Linked DNA regions of Mus musculus. The protein of the gene in region 1 purifies or fractionates together with the protein of each later gene. This does not show direct contact. Links are inferred from orthologs where the notes say so. Each region holds a gene or a part of one and is shown on either strand. Other genes may lie near its edges.

What was found. Proteins that work in one complex are often made in the same cells at the same time.
Region 2: the proteins of Kcnq1 (region 1) and Akap9 purify together in Homo sapiens (affinity purification with western blotting; 3 studies listed by BioGRID and IntAct, with this or other methods). This does not show direct contact. The link is inferred for Mus musculus from reciprocal best matches to the Homo sapiens genes KCNQ1 and AKAP9.

The regions. Positions count from the first base shown.
Region 1 is NC_000073.6:143,103,542-143,113,613, reverse strand, and holds the start of Kcnq1 (potassium voltage-gated channel subfamily KQT member 1), read right to left. Parts: upstream 6,256-10,072; coding exon 5,873-6,255; intron 4,416-5,872; exon of another isoform or gene 4,179-4,415; intron 1-4,178. UniProt on the Homo sapiens protein: Pore-forming subunit of the voltage-gated potassium (Kv) channel involved in the regulation of cardiomyocyte excitability and important in normal development and functions of myocardium, inner ear, stomach and colon.
Region 2 is NC_000071.6:3,924,330-3,934,423, reverse strand, and holds the start of Akap9 (A-kinase anchor protein 9), read right to left. Parts: upstream 6,239-10,094; 5' UTR 5,982-6,238; coding exon 5,934-5,981; intron 5,836-5,933; exon of another isoform or gene 2,468-5,835; intron 2,016-2,467; exon of another isoform or gene 1-2,015. UniProt on the Homo sapiens protein: Scaffolding protein that assembles several protein kinases and phosphatases on the centrosome and Golgi apparatus. Required to maintain the integrity of the Golgi apparatus. Required for microtubule nucleation at the cis-side of the Golgi apparatus.

The DNA.
Region 1 (10,072 bases):
AATGGATCAGGAAATTGCATTCCCAAAGAGCAATGCTGAAGATAGCATAATAGACAACTTGAAAATATCCTCAGGCTGGGGACGTGGCTCAGCTGACAGAATGCTTGCCTAGCATGCACAAGATTCTGGGTTCAATCTGAGGCAGAAAGGAGAGGCTAGGGTTTAAAACAGATGGGATAGTATCTATTACAGGGTGTTTAGTGCACATCTGTAATCCCAGCAGTTGGGATGTAGTGAAGGGAGAATCAAGAGTCTAAGGTCATCCTTGGCTACATAGTCTGAGTCTGAGGTCAGCTTACATTACATTAGACCCTGTTTTAAAAACAAACAATGCTTCATAGCTTGAACAACCAAAACAGCATGAACCTAGCATAGAAATAGACACAATATGAGGCTGAAGAGATGACCCAGTAGTTAAATCCACCTGTTGTTCTTGGTTAGGACTAGGGTTCAGTTCTCAACACCCTCATGGTAACTCAACTGCCTGTAACTCCAGTTCCCAGAGATCTGAAACCCTCTTATTACTTCTAAGGTAATTGGAGTGAGCATACTCAGGTGCACGCGTGCATACACACACACAACACACACACACACACTCATTCACTCACTCCTGCTACAGACGGATGGGGTGGGCAATTTTACAAATGGTCTCTTTTCCAGGACACAATGCCTTTGCCTGGATCTTTCTGGAACCACATCCAGGTGTGTTCTGCTCAGTTCCCACAACCAGACCTGGGGACTTTCCAAGAAGTAGCCAGAAAGTGGGCAAGCACCATGTGAGTGCTTCTACCTCAGATCTGCCTGTGCTCAGTCAGGGCAGTAGCTAAGACAGAAGCCCTGGCTTTATTAGAACATTAATGGGTAGGAACCTCAGGACTATCCCCAGGCCACTGAAAAGCCCTCTGGCAGCCTTTGCATCTACCCACCACTTTCTCAAGCTCAGGAATGCCACTGGATAAAAATACTGCAGGCAGATGTCATCAGTCTGGCCTGTCGTGGGGCTTAGAGTTTTCCAGGCAGCAGTTGCCACAGCCCAGGCTGTGAGGGTGGGGTAAAGTAAAAGGTGAAGAAAGCCTTTGAAAGGAGCCAGACAGCTCTAGGTGGCCCTGCCTGTATGGCCTCTTAGCACTCAGGAACATCAAGATACTTGCTAACACCACACACACACACACACACACACACACACACAGAGAGAGAGAGAGAGAGAGAGAGAGAGAGAGACAGACAGACAGACAGACAGACAGACAGACAGACAGACAGTTTTACCAATGGATTCTTTATGTGCTTGAAGGCAAGGCAAGGCAAGGGGACAAAGACAGAGGCACTGAGCACATATGTGCCTGGGAAGGCTTCCTGGAGGAAGCAGCTTCTGAACATTTGACAGAGTGTGTATTGCGTCTGACATTTGTCATGTCAGACTCCAACTCATTCCCACAGGACAAGATCCTTCCATTCAGAGACTCTACTCCCAGAAGAATAGCAATCCACTCCTTACTTGGTTTGATCAGCGTGTGGTTTATGAGGAGGGAGCTCCTGGATTCTTGGGCATAGCCAACTGTGTGACCTTAGGCAGATAAGCTACTGTCTCCAAGTTCCAGGGTTCCCAGATGCACACAGCAAGTAGCCATATTTGACAGGCCCTTGACAGAGCCACTGCTACAGTCCCCTCCACCTCTCAAGAGGCCTCTGGGCAGGGCCAGGGAACGGGGCTGGGCCACACAGCAGAAGATAACGTGTTCACAGAGGCAGTCCTTTCACGGGCTCTGAAGCCTCATGAAAAGTCAGGTCTTGTGATGGCCACAGTCACCCTGCTGATAGAGCAACCACTGGCTCCTCTCTGAGGCTTGCAGAAATCTGGGGCTCTGCATGCTCCAAGGGGTTATGAAAAGGGATTCCCATGAGGAAGAGCAAGGAGGATACATCCCTGAGTGCCTCAGGTAGGATGAGCAGAGCTTAGATGGCATAATCTATTAAGTAGCACCACTTACTCTTTGGCCCTAAGGCCCTGCAGGGCCACAGCCTACCTCCTGCTCTACCTATTACTTCTTATGCTTCCCCACAGTGTCAAAAGGGCCTGCACCTTCCCTCTGCAACTATTCCTTAGTTTCAGCATCCAAGTGGCCCCTGTGGCCAGCACTTAATTTCCTTCATTCTCCCTACCAGAGGCATAAGAGCTTCTAGAAGCTTCTCTACAACCTTTCATTGGGACAGACCACCCATCCCCATACCACCTGGACTCCTTTTGGTCCTGGAACATGCCCTGGTGTCTGCCCCAGCCTGTCAATCTCATGAAGAGGGAAATGAATCACAGCAAGGTACATAGGAGGCAACAGCTGGACTGGAATGTCAGAGCCAGGAGGGACCATGGGGCTAATCAGGGTCCACTTCCTAGATAAGGGTGCAGAAGAGAGAGGGTGGGAGGAGCAGGGGCCCTTACACTGGCCATGACCAGAACTGTGCATCTTATTACTCAGGAGCCACTTGATAGAGACAGCTGCAGCTCTCCTCACTGCTAGGCAGACCTGCTGTGGATGCCACCCTGCACTGTGCTTTGTTAAGTAAGCACTGTTTGCAAAGGGGACACCACACCCAGGAAGCATGAGCTCTGGACACTACCTTTGCCACCAGAGGGCTCTAAACACCAAACTCCCTGAGAAACAGAGGCCATAGCAGCTGGCCTGACAATGCCCTGTCCTTGTGACACCATGGGCTTCTTCCCTGCCTCAGCAGCTCCCAGTACTACCTTAGCCTGGCATAGGTCCCCATGCCCTCATGTCCAGGGTAGGGAGGCTCTTCCTCAGGTCGGAGTTCCATGGGATTGTCTCTTCCTACTACCCAGCTGGGAGCCTTGCCACAAGGGATGTTTATGGCCACCCAACTCAGAACAAACCAAGATGAAGTGCTCCACACACAGGCACACAGTGTACACAGAAATGCCAGGCTGGGTCTGAGGACAGGTTGAGGGGTTATGTGTACCTGGAAAGTCAAGATGCCAAGAGAGTTAGCTGATGACACCAAGGGACCAGGCCCCAGAGGAGATGGCATGTGGAGAAGCTTCAAATTTTATCTAGGGTTGAAGAATAGGTAGAGGTGTTTATAGTAACCAGAAGGAAAGACTTGGTCATCTACACAGCCCTCACTGCTCTGTCCCCATCATCCTGACAGCCATCTTCCTAGGTCTGCTAACTAATTGCCCACTGGCCACTCCATGAGAGTCATAACCAATACACTGCAGCCCCTGCAATCAAAAAGGCCAGCCCATTTGACTACCAGGAGTAGCTGTAAGCTCCACTCACGATCAACTCCCTGAGGTACTAGCAAAAGCCACCAAAAAGTTCTCAGGGAACTGAGCAAGCCAGAACTGTGAGAGGATAGAGACAGGATGATCAAGTTCAGGTTCAAAAGTGAGGGAGGTGGGTAGTATCTCTTAAACCCCTCTGTTGGTCACAACCAGGGTCTCCAAGCAGCTTGACAGTCAGAGTAGATAGTTTGGAACATCTGCCCCCAACCCTGGCCAAGGCCCAACAGCAAGGCAGCTGGACCCCTGTGACCTTGGCTAGGAAGGGGGCTGCTCTCTATGGGAACTCAAAGAGCCACAAGATAGGATTAGGGTGAGGGGGTGGGGTGGGAACCCAAGCAGCAGAGGGCAGTGCCTGGGGACCAGTGTCCTGACCCTGTCAAGCAGGGGAGGTCAGCACAGACACAGGAAGAGCCGCTCTACTTGGGCCAAGGCAGGGGTCCCCCAAGGAGGGGCCAGGATGTCCGGGTCTGTTTCCCCATACGCATGTGGGAAAGCATACCCCAGAGACTGCAGGACACTGGCTCTCACCCCTCCACCCCCTCCACCCCCACACATTCATGCCCTGCTTTTCAAAAGCAGGCTTGTCCTTTGGGCCACAGAACCATCCCTGTATGTTTTAAGGGTCCATCTTACCAAGTGCGGAGCTCACAGTTTGCCAGCCACATTTGCTTCTTAGAACATCACCAGGGACAACCAGCATGACCACACATTTTATAAAGATGTTAGGCTCCCAACTGCTGGCCATGACTCTTTTCTGGAAACTGCCTGACCCAGAGGGTCCTGCCCACCTCCTGAAGGTGATGGAGATGAGATCCCTCCCCCTAGTGTCTGAGCAAACCACATGCTGTACCCAGCAGGGTCCTCCCAGCTTACTTACCCCTCCCTCTTTGTAACTAAACTCCATGGGCAGCCAGGGCTGGGCAAGATTCACCGACCACCACTCAGGAGCTAGCATCTCTCTCCCTCTCCTTGACAAAGAAGATCTTAGACCACCAATCTAGAAGCCACCAGGGCTCAGTGGCTCCTGGCTCCTGGCTCCTGGCTCCTGGCTCCTGAGGAGGCTGGGCAAAGGCAAGCTCTGCTGAGCAAACTTCCCGAGGGCTGAACAATCCAATTCAGGAAGAAAGCACAGTGTAAGCACAGACTTCCTCTGGGGCAGGACAAGCCCTCTTCCTCCACCAGGTCCAGGCCACCAGAGTCAGGAACTTAACAACGCTCATTCTAATGACCTGCATCCCCAGGAGGATTCCATGCAAGTGTCTGAAGGCTGCCCACCTTGGCAAATGGGGCTCCTGCACAAAAAGGTAACAGAGTAGCGGCTTCTCCAGCACCTTTCATCTCAGGGATCTTAGGATCCAGCAGGCAAGTTATAGAAAGCAGCAAGCCATGTTTGCTAGACATTCCTACAGTGGTTAAGGTTAAGGCCCTTTGGGGTCTTTATGCCCTGAGAAAAGCCCACTCCTGCTGCAAACACATGCAGTGCCTCCATCCTCGAAAGACCAGCAATGAAGCCTCAGGGGTCCTGGCACTTTGGGAGGTAAGGCAGGGGGTTGGGTGGCCTTAAGGACATACCAAGAATGCCAGTGGGGACAGGGTGTCCAGAGACTTGCCCTGGATACCCTGGGCAATCGTCTCCCTTTGCAAGGCAAACAGCCATCCGAATTCACTTTTGTGAGCCTGGTTCTTGCTGTGCCTCAGAGGCATAAACAGACCTCTGGACAACCAGTGGAGGTCCTCCCCTGCCCAGGTGGCAAGACTAGCCACAAGGAGGTCACCTAGTGGAACATCTAAAGCAATTAGCTGCGGGGTCGGTTGAGTAGAATCCTGAGCCAGAGGCTGGCAGGGCACCAAGAAACTAGGCAGCCAGGAAGTGCTGCCTCGAGGTGGCCAGGGGAGGCAGCAAGGAGGGCAGCCAGCCCATTCCTGGAGATGACTTTCTGTGACCCTGCCCTTGAAAAATGAAGTGCCCTGCCCCTCTCAGGCAGCCTGTGAGAATAAGAGCCACCTGGTAGCAGTGAGGGCCAGGTGCAGCTCAGCTCCCTCTCCTGTTCCCTAAAGCAGGTGCTGTTCTCGGACAATGTCTACTGGGCTCGCTCAGGGCATCAAGCCTGCTTTCATCAGCCTGGGTTATTGAAGCTGTGGGCACTCCCTGTGGACATCTTGGGCAACACCAGTGCACCTGCTAATCTATCCTGTTGCTCTGAGTGCCTAAGACACAGACACCAGCCAAGGCCTGGATGGGCTTGCACACAGACACCAGTCACTCCTGGAGGCTCCTGAGTCTCTCTTGTCACAACTGACCCACACCAAAAGGTCGGCTTCCAGCTTGCTTACTCCTCCTGTAGAGACTAACATCTAAGCGCTGTCCCTCTATCCCAAGTGAATGCCCTGGGGGATCTCCTAGGTTGGTGTACTGCAAGTGTCCCCCTCCACAAGCCACAGCAGAGTCCCTGAGTTTAAGGGACCGACTCTCAGTCTGGTTTCTGCTTTCTGTGATTAGCCCTTCCTTGCCTCCCCTAGGGTCATAGTGGCACCAGCCCTAAGAGTCGTGCGTGCAGGGAGGTTACTCACACGGTGAAGTGGTACACGAAACACTTCCAACCCGTGGGGCGCTCGAGGAAGTTGTAGACTCGGCCCTGGATGTGGGTGCGCGCCAGCAGCGGGCGGCGCGCACTGTAGATGGAGACCCGCGGGTCAAGGCTCACCCGCGGACGTGGGCCGAGGTCTGCAGGGGCCGGGGCGGGCGACACTGGGGTCGACATGGGGGGCGCGAGCCCGGGGGCTCCGGTTGGCGCGATGGGCGCATAGACCGTGCTGCCCTCAGGGCCACCTTCGGCCAGCTCCAGTGAGAAGGGACACTTCTTGACCACCGCGCTGCCCCGCCGGGCGCCTAGCAGGCGGCTCCAACCCGCGCGCTTCCTTTCAGCACTGGGCGGGGACGAGGCCGTGTCCATGGCCAGACAGGACCCCTGACCCCGCTGCTCCTCGGAGCTGAGGTGAAGGCAGCGCAGAGCGCAGGGCGCAGCGCGGGTAGCCACTGCTGCCAGCCCAGCCACGGGGGGCCGCTGTCTGCTCCGCCTGGGGGCGGGGGCGGGGTTGGTCCCCGGGGATGGCATGTCCCGCCCCCAGGACGCCCCGCCCCTGGGCGCCACCGCGCGCCTACCTGCGGCCTTGCTCAGCCAGCGGGTTACCTGCTCCGCCAAGCCAAGTCAGGCTATCTCCGCGTTCCGGGCTGGGCGCACCTGCTGGGCGCACGTGCTTCCCCGCACCCCGAGGACCGCCCGCCTGCTTGGCTCTAGGGTCCTCCAACCTGGGACCAGCAGATACCACCACCACGAATCACAAGCACCCTTTTTCTCGCTATCTGAACCTACCCTAGAGAGGGAGCGGGAGGCAGAAAAGGGCATCCCAGGCCACGCATGGACACTTTCCGGCACAGAATGAGGAAGTGTTAGCCCAGCGGACACTGAGCACCCTTGGGTGTCCAGAAGCCTCTGTTGGCGGCGGAGAATGCGAAAATCTCTTCCCAGTAGTTAATCGCAGCCCATAAGACAGCGGGATGGAGGAGATGGGAACAGACCAAGAGTGGTGCTCACTAAGAGTGGGGTCAAAGGCAAGTGCTAGATTGCGGGTTTTACAGGTAGACACCGCCCGCGGGGCTGCCTGAGCGTTTACATGTTTACACTCCCTTTAAGTTTGTACCTCTCCAGAGTGACACAGAAGGAGCTTTATGTCCCGTGGTGGTGTGAGGATAGTCAGAAGGTTTGTGCAGCTGGCTCTTGCTACACTGGCCTTTGTGTGGGATGGAAGGGCACCTGCATCCCAGGACAATTCCAAAATCCCATTCTCCTGTGATCCGCCACACCCACCTCTCACACCACTCACAAGAATAACTTTCAGATACCGTCCTGTTAGCTTCAGTTGTCAACTTGACACAGCCTAGGGTCATCTGAGAAGGGAATCAGTAGGAGGACTGCCTAAATTGGATTAGACTGTGGGTGTGTCTGAGGAAGATTGTCTTGATTGTCTTAGTTGATGTGGGAAGACACAGCCCACTGTGGGCCGTGTCTGTTTCCTGGGCAGGTGGGCCTAAGCTATATAAGAAAGGTAGCTGGGCATGAGCCTGAGAACAAACAAACAAGCAAGCAGCGCTCCTCTGGGTTTTCTGCTCAACTTCCTTGGTTGTGAATGAGTTCTTTGATGGGAGTTGGTGCTATGTAGAATATTGAGCAGGCCTGCCTCCAGGTTCCTGGTTGAGGTCCTTCTCTGGCCCCCCTTTGAAGATGGGCTGTAATTGGTAAGCTGAAATAAACCCTTTCCTCACCCAAGCTGCTCTTGGTCCTGGTGTTTATCGCAGTGATGGAAGGATACGAGAACAGGTGGATCAAAGGCTTTGGTGAAAGCTGTGCAGAAAGAACAAAGGTGAGGGGCCATTGCTATAACCAGAGGTAGAGTGTGTGCCTGGTGTATGCAAGGACCTAGGTCTGATGAGGATGTGGGGGAAGAGCACCTGCCTCAAGAAACTGTCACTAAGGAAAACATTTCCAACTGTGCTGTGAAATCCGGAAGCGGCAGATAAAGCAGAAAGTTGCCGCAGGGGAAGTAGGAGATAGGAGACAAGGCCGTTTTCACCACCACAGGCAAAGGATTAATAATAATCATTCATACATAAGGACCATCTAAAGCCTGGGCAGACTGCCGCAGCCAGTGCTGTGGGAGAGTGGGCTGAAAACAGGATCCGAACACAGGGAAAGAGGCATGCAGCCTTGGTGCCTCAGGGGGAAAACATTCTCAGCCTCACTCATAATAAGAAAATGCAAATTAAAAGTACACTCTGATACCAGCGGCCCACTATCTGATTGGCAAAACTCCAGATGTTTGACGGCACAATCTTTGGGAGAGGCCAGGGTGGCAGGTGCTTTCCTAATCACCCGTGGGAAGGGCATCTTGGCAGCCTTAGCAAGAGCGTATGTGCCTTTTGACCTGGAAATCCCACCACTAATAGCCAACCCAAAGACAAACGAGAAAAACAGAAGATGAAGGTGGGCATGGTGGAGCACACCTGTAATCTGAGTACTTGAGAGGTAGGAGTTTACAAGAGTATTAGGAATTCAAGGCCATCCTCACCGACATAGTAAGTTCAAGGCCAACCTGGGCTATGTAAGGAGAGAGAGAGAGAGAGAGAGAGAGAGAGAGAGAGAGAGAATACATAAGCATATAAACCTGTGTGCTTACTGCAACGTGGCTTATATTAGCAAAAGATAAGCAGCTGAAATGATGGCTCAGTGGTTAAGAGAACTTGCCTCTCAAGCATGAAGACTAGTGTTAAGAATCCATCACTCATATAAATGCCAAGTGTGACCCTCTGCATGCTTGTGTGTGGGGCGGGGGGCAAAGACTCTGGGACTTCTGGCTCCAGCCTAACTGAAAAACTCAAACTCTAAGGTTGAACAAGGGACCCTGCCAAGGCAAAGAGTGATATAATAGGACACCAGAGACCCTCTGCTGCCTTCTGCAAATGCTCACAAGCGCATGTTCACACACCTGTGAGTCCATCACACACACACACACACACACACACACACACAAAGACAAACACATTGCGGTTCTGTTGGTTGACTTATACTCTAACAGAGCCACACAATAAAGGTTCATGACAGTCATTATCACTAATATCCAAAGGAAAAAAATAATTGAACCATAGGTAATAATATTGGTAGGTTCCTACTCCAGATGACCCCCAGGCTAAAATTCTCAGTGCTCAAGTCTTTCACGTAAAGTAGGGGAGTCTGTGTTTAGAAACTATGTGCATCCTCCAGTGTAGCTCAACCCATCTCTAGATTCCTCAAAATACCGAGCACAATGGGAATGTTAGGTGGAGTAGTCTACATTATATTGTTGGGGAAAGAATAAGAGCTGTGCTAGTCCAATCCAGAAGTAATTTGTTTTTCAAATATCTTCCATCTGGTGTGGGTTGCAGAACCTGGAGATTTGCAGCACCAGCTGTCTGAACAAATCAAACATATATGTTTACATATCAAATAAGCAATCCTTTTGAGTCTCTTAGGAACCAAGATATAAAAGATACAGATGTAAAATCAAAGAAGTAAAAACAAATCTTTAATGTGAGTTTAAAATATTACCATAATCTCCTCTGTTGTTTCCTTTCAAGATTACTTTACAGCTATATCCGACTAAAAACTTTGGAAAGATCAGGGTGAGGATGGCCTGGTTGGTGAATTGCTTGCTTGGACAAGCATGAAGACTGAGTTCAGTCCCAGAACCCACATAAAAATGTGGGACATATACCAGGCATAGTAGCCCGTGCCTTTAATCCCAGCACTTGGGAGACAGAGGCAGGTGGATCTCTGTGAGTGCAAGGTCAGCCTCTTCTACACAGTGAGTTCCAGGACAGTCAGAGATGTAGAGAGACCTTGTCTCAAAAATCAAGATGGACTGCCACCGAGGAACAACACCAAAAATTTGTCTTCTGGTTTTCACACACATGTACACACAGACACACACCCTTGTGCACCACACATACTCCACCACATACAAATATATACCCATGCTTGTGTAAACTCCACCCCCCAAACACACACACTTGGAAAAGTCTGAGCAAGAGCAGAATTCAAGCAGCACAGCTGCACAGAGAGACTCGAATCTGTAATCCCTGAATCCAAGACGCTGAGGCAGGAGGATTGCCATGAGTTCAAGGTTTACAGAGTGAGCTCCTATCTCCAAAAACAAACAAATATATCAATTGAAGCA
Region 2 (10,094 bases), on another chromosome or scaffold:
ATTTTAGAAGAATATCGCTGCAAAATAAATATGCTATCCTCATCAATGTTCAGCAGGTTACTTTTTTCTCACTGCCATGTCAGACAAGGCTAGCTAACTTCAGTTTCACTAAAGCACAATTCTCGAGCACTGTGTAGCTTTGCTCTTGCTAGAACCGTTTTTCTTTATACAGTGAAGACATCTGGAGCGGGACTGACAGCTCAGCAGTCAGGAGCACTTGTTTTTGCAGAAACTTTGATTTGGTTCCCAGCACCCACATGGAGGCTCACAACCACCTATAACTCTAGTTCTAGGGGACCTTTTCTAAACTGCAAGGGCACTAGGCATGCACATAGTGCACACATATGCATGCAGGGAAGACACTCACACACACACAATCTTGAAATAGGACATTGTTTTCAAAGATTTTTGAGCCGGGCAGTGGTGGTGCACGCCTTTAATCCCAGCAGTTGGGAGGCAGAGGCAGGCAGATTTCTGAGTTCGAGGCCAGCCTGGTCTACAGAGTGAGTTCCAGGACAGCCAGGGTTACACAGAGAAACCCTGTCTCAAAAATAAATAAATAAATAAATAAATAAATAAATAAATAATTAAAAATGAAAAAAAGATCTGGGATCCATTCTTGTCACAGGATACCTGGAACATGTTTGTCACCTGACCCCTTCAGCTTGATGGAGAGTACTGCCATTGCTGAGTAACAGCGTGTAGAAAAGAAGCAGGACAGCCAGAGGAGGACTGTGACAAAGGAGTGGGACAAAGACCGTTCAAACAGGTGAAGCTTTCCCTTGGGTCTCTTTGCCCTGTGTTTTGCCACTGGGGGTTTACTCCAGAGACCTTGCCTTTGAAGAAGCATTTTTCTCTCACTTCAGTGAAACCTGCAGATAATGAATGACTTTTCGATTCCTGCTCTGCCATGCTGTGAATGAAGGCATTAACTCCTGCACTGCTGAGAACGCTAGACTAGATACTTCTGTCACACCTAAGACCGCCTATCAAGAATCAGGAAGGCAGGAAAGAAGTGCGCATGAAAACAGAAGGAGCAACTGTACAGAAAGAAGGTGAAAACCCTGGCTGTCCACATCTCAAAGAAAAGAAAGCCTTTTTCTCTTTGCATATACCTGGTACTACTCAAACCGTGAATGCTTGGTGAACATATAAGAATCATAACTGCTGACAAAAAATGAAGAAGCCAAGAACTTTAATTAATTCACTAAACAATGTCTATTATATAAAGCACTGCCTCCCTGGCACAAAACTTCCATTTTAAAAATTGTACTGTACGTACCAAGCTTTTAAAAACATTCCTAATATGATTTGAAGATATAGTTGTATTATAATACTCTTCATAAAACAGTAAATTTCCAAGTAATTTTACTTGGAAAAAGTAAGTCTTTTAAAATGGAGCTGAAATGTTTGGTTCAACACAGGACAGACAGCCTCTGTGGTGCCATTCCTGATCTTTTCATAGTAAACAGGGTTTGCCTGGGTCTGAAAATACTTAATAATCTGGTAATATCGTCTCTCCTCAGGAAACAGGATTTTTACAACACTAATACTGAGGACCCTACAGCAAATGCAAAGACAACCACGAAGACACTAAGCTGGCAGAGAAGTCTGCTCTGCTTGGCTCCCTTCTCCTTGGAATTTTCACAAACTCGTCTATGAACCCCAGTTTCTGGGTTCTTTAGTCACTGCAGACCTAAAACAGCAAAGTAGGAGCAAAGGAAAGGAAGGGGTAAGGCCAGATGATCTGTCCCCAGCAATGAGTGCAAGAGAGATCCACTGGGCTTGGAGTGTCTGGGGCACCCGTCTGCAGTGCTGAAGACAGGCTGGAGGAGCAGGAGTTCAAGGCCAGCCTGGGCTACATGACACTTTGCCTTAAAAAAACAAAAAACAAACAAACAAACAAACAAACAAAAGGACATCGCCCAAATGCCTTCTAACACCGAAGCCAGCTATATGACACGAGCAATGCTGAGTAAAGCAGAACCAGCCCAGGACCACAGGGCACCTGGGACCTAGTTAAGCCACAGTGCTCTATGGGACAGCACACACCTTACCATACCGTAGCGATAAGGTTTGATTATTTTTTAAAATAGTATTTTAATTTTTTCCTAATGATAACAGAACTATTGTGGGGATGGGGATACGGCTTGGGACCATAAGAACAGGAGCTGTGCTAGCCTTTGGTGCTTCCTGCCAGACATCTTTCAGGTTAATTACTTTTCTTGTTACGGAGACCAAATACCTGAAAAAAAGCAACTTTTCTGCGTCCCTTTGTGTCTGCCCTTTGTCCCAAGTAAAAGAAATAAGTAAACAAAAGAAAGCATAGAAAACATCTGTCTGTAGCATGTCACAGTGTGTGCCACAGAATACCCTCTGGCCACACATGTCTACCTGGAAATGTCCATTGCAGGTCATTGGTCCAGTTCAAGGCCTCTGGCTTCTATGACAGCATCCATACTGGGACCTAGTTAAGCCACAGTGCTCTATGGGACAGCACACACCTTACCATACCGTAGCGATAAGGTTCTCCTCACATGGAGTCCACTAGGAGAGGCTATTGTCCTATGACACTGGAGGTCCTGAGCTGTGGATCCGCCCCTTTTACATGTGAAGCAGCTCACAGATGGGAGAGACACTGGGTGGGCCAGCTCAGAGCCCTGGATCTGGGACTGGGCAGGGACTGAGCTGGTCAGCCCAACAGCCTTTCACCCAGCACTATTTGTGGTGATTTACCCAGCTTAAAGTCTTTGTAGAATGATCTTGTGCTACATATACACCATAATTTATTCTCCTTTACTGGATTTAGATTGGTATAAAACATTTCGTAAAATATACTATAATGTATACATGACAAGCTATTTTTAAAGTGAGTGTTTATGTGTTCTAGATAAATGGAAATTTTCAATGAAACAACCTACCAATCAGTTAGTTACCAAGAAAAAGATTTAAGAATTGTGATTTATGAAAACAAATTATCAAAGACAACAACTAAGCCCAGTAAATAGGAAATGTGGAAAACCAAGCTTCTAAATGGGTTTTGGAAAATGATTTTATATGTTCTTTTCTTATGCAGCAATGAACAACTTTAGACTAAGAATTCTTTATTACTATGTAGTAGCCATACTTACAAAGAAGCACCCAGGGAGGACTCATTTCTCATTCTGTTCACTCAATAAGCAGACATTGTATTGAATAATTACTATCTGATAGATAATTAGAAGCTGCATTAACATAATAATAGAGCATCGTCGTATAATGTTCCAGGAAGTAAACAGTATCTAAAACATTTTACCAAACTAGGGAAGATAAATTATCACAGGCCCTACTGCAGAGCGCCCGCACTTGACTCACTACCCTGTGTCTGCCTTTAGACCCACAGAGCAGAGGCAATCATCACATCTGTACTTTCAATTCCTGCCATAAAACGGGACTTTATGAAGTCAGCTGGATCCAGGGCTCTGCACTGCACCACAGAGCTACACCCCCCAGTCACTGATTATATTCACAATACGGTTTTTTTTTTCACTCCTAATTAGAGGCAGCATGTTTATACAGATGAAAGACACATGTAGTGCTTTTGAAAACACAAGGTGCACTTTATGACCCATGTTCATTTGAGGCTCTACAAGCGTAATGGCTGCAGAACATTCCTTCAGGTAACTGAGAAAACTATTTTCTTCATGTTGTCTTCATAGGCTATCTCAGTGTCTGTTTGTTACATTACCAGAACTACTTATAAGACACATGGGTATAACCCTCATGGGGAGAGTAGGTGCAATTCTATGACAAAGTAATATTTTAAATAAAGTAATTTTAGGAGAGAGACTGCATCCCCAAAGGCAGAGCTATGAATTATGTGCAGGGACACATTTGCTGTCCCTTGTCACCATCCACCTTGTATAGTATGTTTTGAGACAGGGTGTCCAGATGACACTCAAGCTTGGTGTTTTGGCTAGAGGACTGGACAGGACGTCCCACGGGTCTGTCTGTCCCTTTCTCCCAAGCCCTGCATTACAGATGCATGCCACCATGTCCAGCCGTCCAGCTTTGTGTGGGCGCTACAACTATGAACCCCGGTGTACATGCCTGTACAGCAAGCAGTTCACACAGTGAATAGACCACCTATCTCCCCAACCCCACAAAGACAGCATTTTGAAAGACAAAGAGACATGTGTAGAAACCACATTCACAATCTCTTCTAAAGATAAATCCAGTATCTATTGGCAGCAACTTAACCCTAAGACAGGTCTAGTGAAGGCAGACAAAGCTCAGCAGGAGTCCCTCACACATATTTAGCACAGAATATATTTAGGGAAGGGAGTAGAAATTATGAAGTAGTCAATAAGACATCTACCTTATCTGGACACAGTAGCTCACACACAGAATTCCATCGCTCTGAAGGTTAACACAGAATTGCCCTAGAGTCTGAAGCCAGCCAGCCTGGACTACACATTGATCTCTAGGCTCACCTGGACTATAGTCTAAGATTCTGCTAAAGAAAGAAAGGGTGGGAGAACAAGAGAGGAAGACTGCACACTACACCTCCAATTCCTTCAATGCTCTGAGCCCGGTCAGTCCCTTGGGGTGCACAATGGGAAGCTAAGCTGGGCTTTCCCTCCATTTATAGAATGCCACAGAGACACATTCAAATCTTGACCTTACACAGAGGATGCTTATGGGAAACCAACTAACTATATTCTAGAAATACAAGATTAGCTATTGCACACACTCCTTTAACAAACTAATGCTGAGCATGTACCAACGTCTCTCTCCAGTAGGGCCCTTCACTCATTACTGACCTGCTTCCTTTGTTAATGATGTGAGAGAAGAAAAAAGAAAGGTAGGTGCCTTCGTTAGGGTTACTATTGCTATGATGAAACATCATGACCAAAGCAATTTGGAGAGGAGAGGGGTTTATTTAGCTTACAACACTTCCATATCACAGTTCCAAACTAACAAGTACAATAAGCTTAAAATATAACTTAATTATTCCCAGTAACAATAAGGTCTTAAAAAAAGGCACTATATCTTAAAGGTAACTTCATTTTTGGGAGCAAGGAGGTCCAAAGGTAAGCTCAAACAGGTAATTTTACAAAGAAATCATTCTATTCCATTCATAACAGTGTCAAATTATTTAGTAAGCCCACTGGAAGATGCCTACATATAAGTCTGGATTATACATGACTTGCCATACCCGCATACCCACACAAAATCAAACTTACCAAATACATAATAACAAATACATTATCTAAAACAGCAATTCTGTAGGTGTTTTAGTCTATGGAACCTTTCGATGCCCCGAAGTTCCATTCCACACATTACAAAAGAGCCTGCCATGACAAAGACCTCAAGCACGAATATACAAAGAACGGCAAAAACAAAAACAAAAAACAAAAAACAAAAAGAACGCCCCTACAGCCAAGTTCACAGCTGGCACTTGTGGCACACTCAAGACACTGCCGAGGCAGCTGTCACAGGCCAATCACACACACACACCAAGAGTGCCAGCGTGACACCTCAAGAAGGCAGGCTGATGGTCAGCGCAGGGGTGTTCCCGGAATAAAGAAAACCCTAAACCCTTGCTCCGGAAAGCACAAAGCCTGGCCGACTCCCTGAACTCCCTTCAGAAAGTGAAAGGGTGGTGGCTGCGAAGCAATTCCTTAGCAGTTAACAGCCGGGGTGAGAGGGGGTTTTGTGTGGCACCGGGGAGAAAGGAACCAAGCCGAGCGGTGCAGTCATCAGGTCTCCAGCAGCAGCAAGAGAGGGCGGCTCTTCAGCCCCAGCCGCAGCCCCCTAGCCCCAGCCGCAGCCCCGGCCCCGGCCCCAGCCCCAGCCCCAGCCCCGGCCCCGGCCCCGCGGCCCGGCCTCTCCCCCAGCCTCCGCCCCGGGTCACCGCCTCCCGACGCGGCCCGTGGCCGCCGCGCTCCTACCTTCGCCTTGCCGGCTGCCAGCTTCCTTTGCCTCTCCTCGTCCTCCATGGCGTCTGCAGGGTAGGCTGGGACGCAGTGGAGAGGAAAGATCTGTTTAGAAAGAGGCGGACAGAGCTCCGTGGCCACCCGGGACACGCTGGGCGCTCACCGGCGACTCGTGCCGGCCTGCACGGGCCCCGCGGTCACCGCCGCCATCTTCGTCTCCACGTAAACACACGGCGGCCGGCGGGGCGGAGCGGGCGGGCGGGCGGCCGGCGCAGCCGCGAGCGTGGCCCGGCAGGTGCTTGTGCGCGCCCGGCTTGACCGGGGCGGAGGGAGGGTCAGGGTCCGGCGGCCCGACACCCACTGCTCCGGGGACCCGGTGCTCGGAACACGCCGCGCTGCATTTCCAATTCCAAAGCGACCGCGGCCTCACAACAAGGAGCCGCAGTGGAAAGGGCGAGGGCGGAACCTCCCCCCTCCAACCCGGGGAAGCCTGATCCTTCCTTCACCCCAAATCCCTCCCTCAGTTCCCCCACAGGTTCCCTCTCAACCCATAGTCTTCTCCTTCGCCTTGCGCTGGAAGAGCAGCCTACGGTAGAGCCTTCTCCCAACTCTTTGTTCTCTGGAGTGAAGCTGAGACACTCCTAGGGGCTTCCTTCTCCTTGGCAACTGTGTTCCTAAGGAACTCGAATTCGGAATCTAAGTTGGGAACAAAGCCAGTCTACCCTAACTTTCCCTCCTCCAGCCCCCCATTAGTTATTTATTCACTTTACATCCTGACCTCAGCCCCCCTCTCCTCCCATCCCCCCCACCCCACCATGACCCCTCCTGGCTTACCTCTCTCCCCTTCACCTCTGAGGTAGACATTACCTCAGGTAAAGGGCTGGAAAAAGGTTTTCCAAGCAAAAGGGACTATGTTAACTTTGAACTTTAAAGACCTTAAAACAGCTATGGTTCTCTGACTTTACCTGGAGTTCTTGGACGAGCTGCCTAATATTTATGACTGCTCCTGGAATGTGAAAACACTCAAACCTTTGTCCTTTCTATTTCTTGAAATGGCTACTGTGAAAGATTATGCCCAATAAACTTTGTTACATTTTATTGAGCCGTGCTTATAAATCGATTCTTAACATCTTTCCTCCCCCACCTGCTCTGGCAATCCTTTCTTTCCCTTCCCTCACTCCCTCTTTCCCCTCTCCTGCCCCTCAAATCCATTTCTGGAGTGAACGAACCATTTTAGTGTCTCAGATTGAGCCTTTCTTCTTTGTTTTAACATAGGTTTGGACTGAAAAATTAGCAGGTAAGAACTAAAGATATTAGTTTAATCATAGAAGTAGTGTTAACTGGATATACATATGAAAGGGGGAGACTAAAAACCTTAGCTCTATCAGACACCAAAAATGTTTCTAGTACCTGTAATTTAGAAATCTTATATTTCAAACATAATTGTGCCAACCTAAAACAATCAAGTGTGTATTTGCCCCATTTTCTCAGCTGGAATTGGGGACGTGAGAACAGACACCTCATCATAAGAATAAAGGAAAGTAAAAGAGGCTGATCTAAGAGAGGCGTGTTTTTCTCGGGAGCCCTTTGTGGCTCCAGGTCTAGAATGAAGTGTTCTAAACTGCCTGGAGTTAAGTGATGCTCGGTTGATTCTGATTGCCTAGGAGGAGCAAGCCCAGGATATCTGACAGACTTCCTGTTTGTTAATGGGCTCTCCTTTCTCAGTGGCTCAGCAGGTCAACTCTTTGTTGCAATCTGTTCCATCTTAGTAACTAAAGATGTTAGTGATCTGCTAAATGTTGCAAGATTATTTCTGCATTTCCCTTTAGATCACTTATATCAATTATATGTACCTGTCTCAGGCATAAACGCTGCTCAGTGACATAGCTGATCTATTAGAAGGGCACATCTGTGGAATTATGGCCATCTCTTATGATACCTGTTCAATCGTGTCTCCATGTCATGTATTCATATAATTCAGACAAAAGGAAAATGGTGGTTTATATGCCTCCTTTTATAGAATAAGAAACAGAAAGCTTGAATGGTTAAACCACTTGACAACTTCCCATGGTTAGGTAATGGAAGTCATAGCTAGTGCTGCCAAGCCGTGAATTTGAGTCTTTTTCTATTTAGCTGTCTATGTCTCCAAACAATAAAAAAAAAAAAATTAAAAAATAAAAAGGGTCAGGATTTGCAGAGGCTCTTTTGTATGTGTGCTCTGAGTGCACACGTATGTTTACATGTGTGGAAGTCAGATATGTATTCATGTGCTTCTGGATGCTGGAGGTTGGCCTTGGGGGCTTCCTTAGTCACGTTTCACATGTGGATGGAGGCTGGAACTAAGACCTTGACAATGCAGCTACTCTAACTAGCCAGCTTCACGGGTCCTACCCATCTCTCCCTCTTGAGCTTGGGGTCACAAGCATGTTACTGTGACTGTTCAGCATTAACATGTGTGGGGTGCAAACTGTTCCTCACACGTGTGAGGCAGACACTTTTCCTACTAAGCCACCTCTGCAGCCCCAACAGTGGGGTTTTAAGGGACTAAATATATGTTTATAAAATGTGCTCAATAAAATAAGTTTCAAAATGAAAGTCCTTTAAAATAATAACTTATAAGACAGAACTATAACCATTAAAGTGACCTATAATCTAAATGAAATCAGAGAAATTTAAGGTACTACTATTACCAAGGATGCAATTATAGGCCAATAATCCAAGAGAGTGCAATTAATTACTGACTAATAGAATATATGAACACAAAATTCAGATCTGCAAGGTCTTTTACATCAGTAAGTAGTTGCAATATATTAAACTGTGAGTTACCAAATATTATGGCAAAGGCCCATGTAGTCTTTCTACTCAGGATAAAATACATTTACTCTTTTTTTCCCCTTTTTCTTTTTTATTAGGTATTTTCCTCATTTACATTTCCCATGCTATCCCAAAAGTCCCCCATACCCTCCCCCTCACTCCCCTACCCACCCATTCCTACTTTTTGGCCCTGGAGTTCCCCTATACTGGGGCATATAAAGTTTGCAAGTCCAATGGGCCTCTCTTTCCAGTGATGGCCAACTAGGCCATCTTTTGATACATATGCAGCTAGAGACAAGAGCTCCGGGGTACTGGTTAGTTCTTAATGTTGTTCCACCTATAGGATTGCGGATCCCTTCAGCTCCTTGGGTACTTTCTCTAGCTCCTCCATTGGGGGCCCTGTGATCCATCCAATAGCTGACTGTGAGCATCCACTACTGTGTTTGCTAGACCCCGGCATAGTCTCACAAGAGACAGCTATATCAGGGTCCTATCAGCAAAATCTTGCTGGTGTATGCAATGGTGTCAGCGTTTGGAGGCTGATTATGAGATGGATCTCCGGATATGGCAGTCTCTAGATGTTCCATCCTTTTGTCTCAGCTCCAAACTTTGTCTCTGTAGCTCCTTCCATGGGTGTTTTGTTCCCAATTCTAAGAAAGGGCAAAGAGTCCACACTTGGGTCTTCCTTCTTGAGTTTCATGTGTTTTGCAAATAAATACATTTATTCTAAATAGAAAGTTTTGTATTACTCTTGCTAGATAAATTGCTGAAAATTACTATGGCTACTGGGGTGTTGAGTGAATCAGTCTTGCTGAGTGAGCTACAAGTGTTCAGATCACTCTTAAGACTAGGTACACAAAATGTTTACCTAAGTTAGACCAGCACAAAATCCAAACCAGTTTTAGCTCTGACTTGAAGAGGAATGTAGACACCTCATCCCATCTTCTCCTCCTGGCCACCAACATGTCTGATGTGTTACGGGAATTCAGGTCACTCCATGAGACCTCTCCTGCTGTATTTGCTTCCTTCTTACAAGTACCAGGAGTAACTCTATAGCTTGGAAGATAACATCCTGGGATGGCTTACATAGCACCACATTGCTTGCACAAATCTTCTACTGCCAAGGGTGATCGGGGTACATGTTTTCTTTCAGTTTTTAAGGACTCAAATGAATACATCTTATGTATATTGTATATTTAAATTTTTCAAATTTTTAAATATCAAATATTTATCCCTACATAGTTTTATCTAAGAAACTAGAAATGTAACTCCATTTTGAAGATCCATAAAACACTTTTGTTTTCAAAATCCAAAATCAAAAGAAAGTGGAGAACAATCTTTTAAAAGGAAACATGCACATTA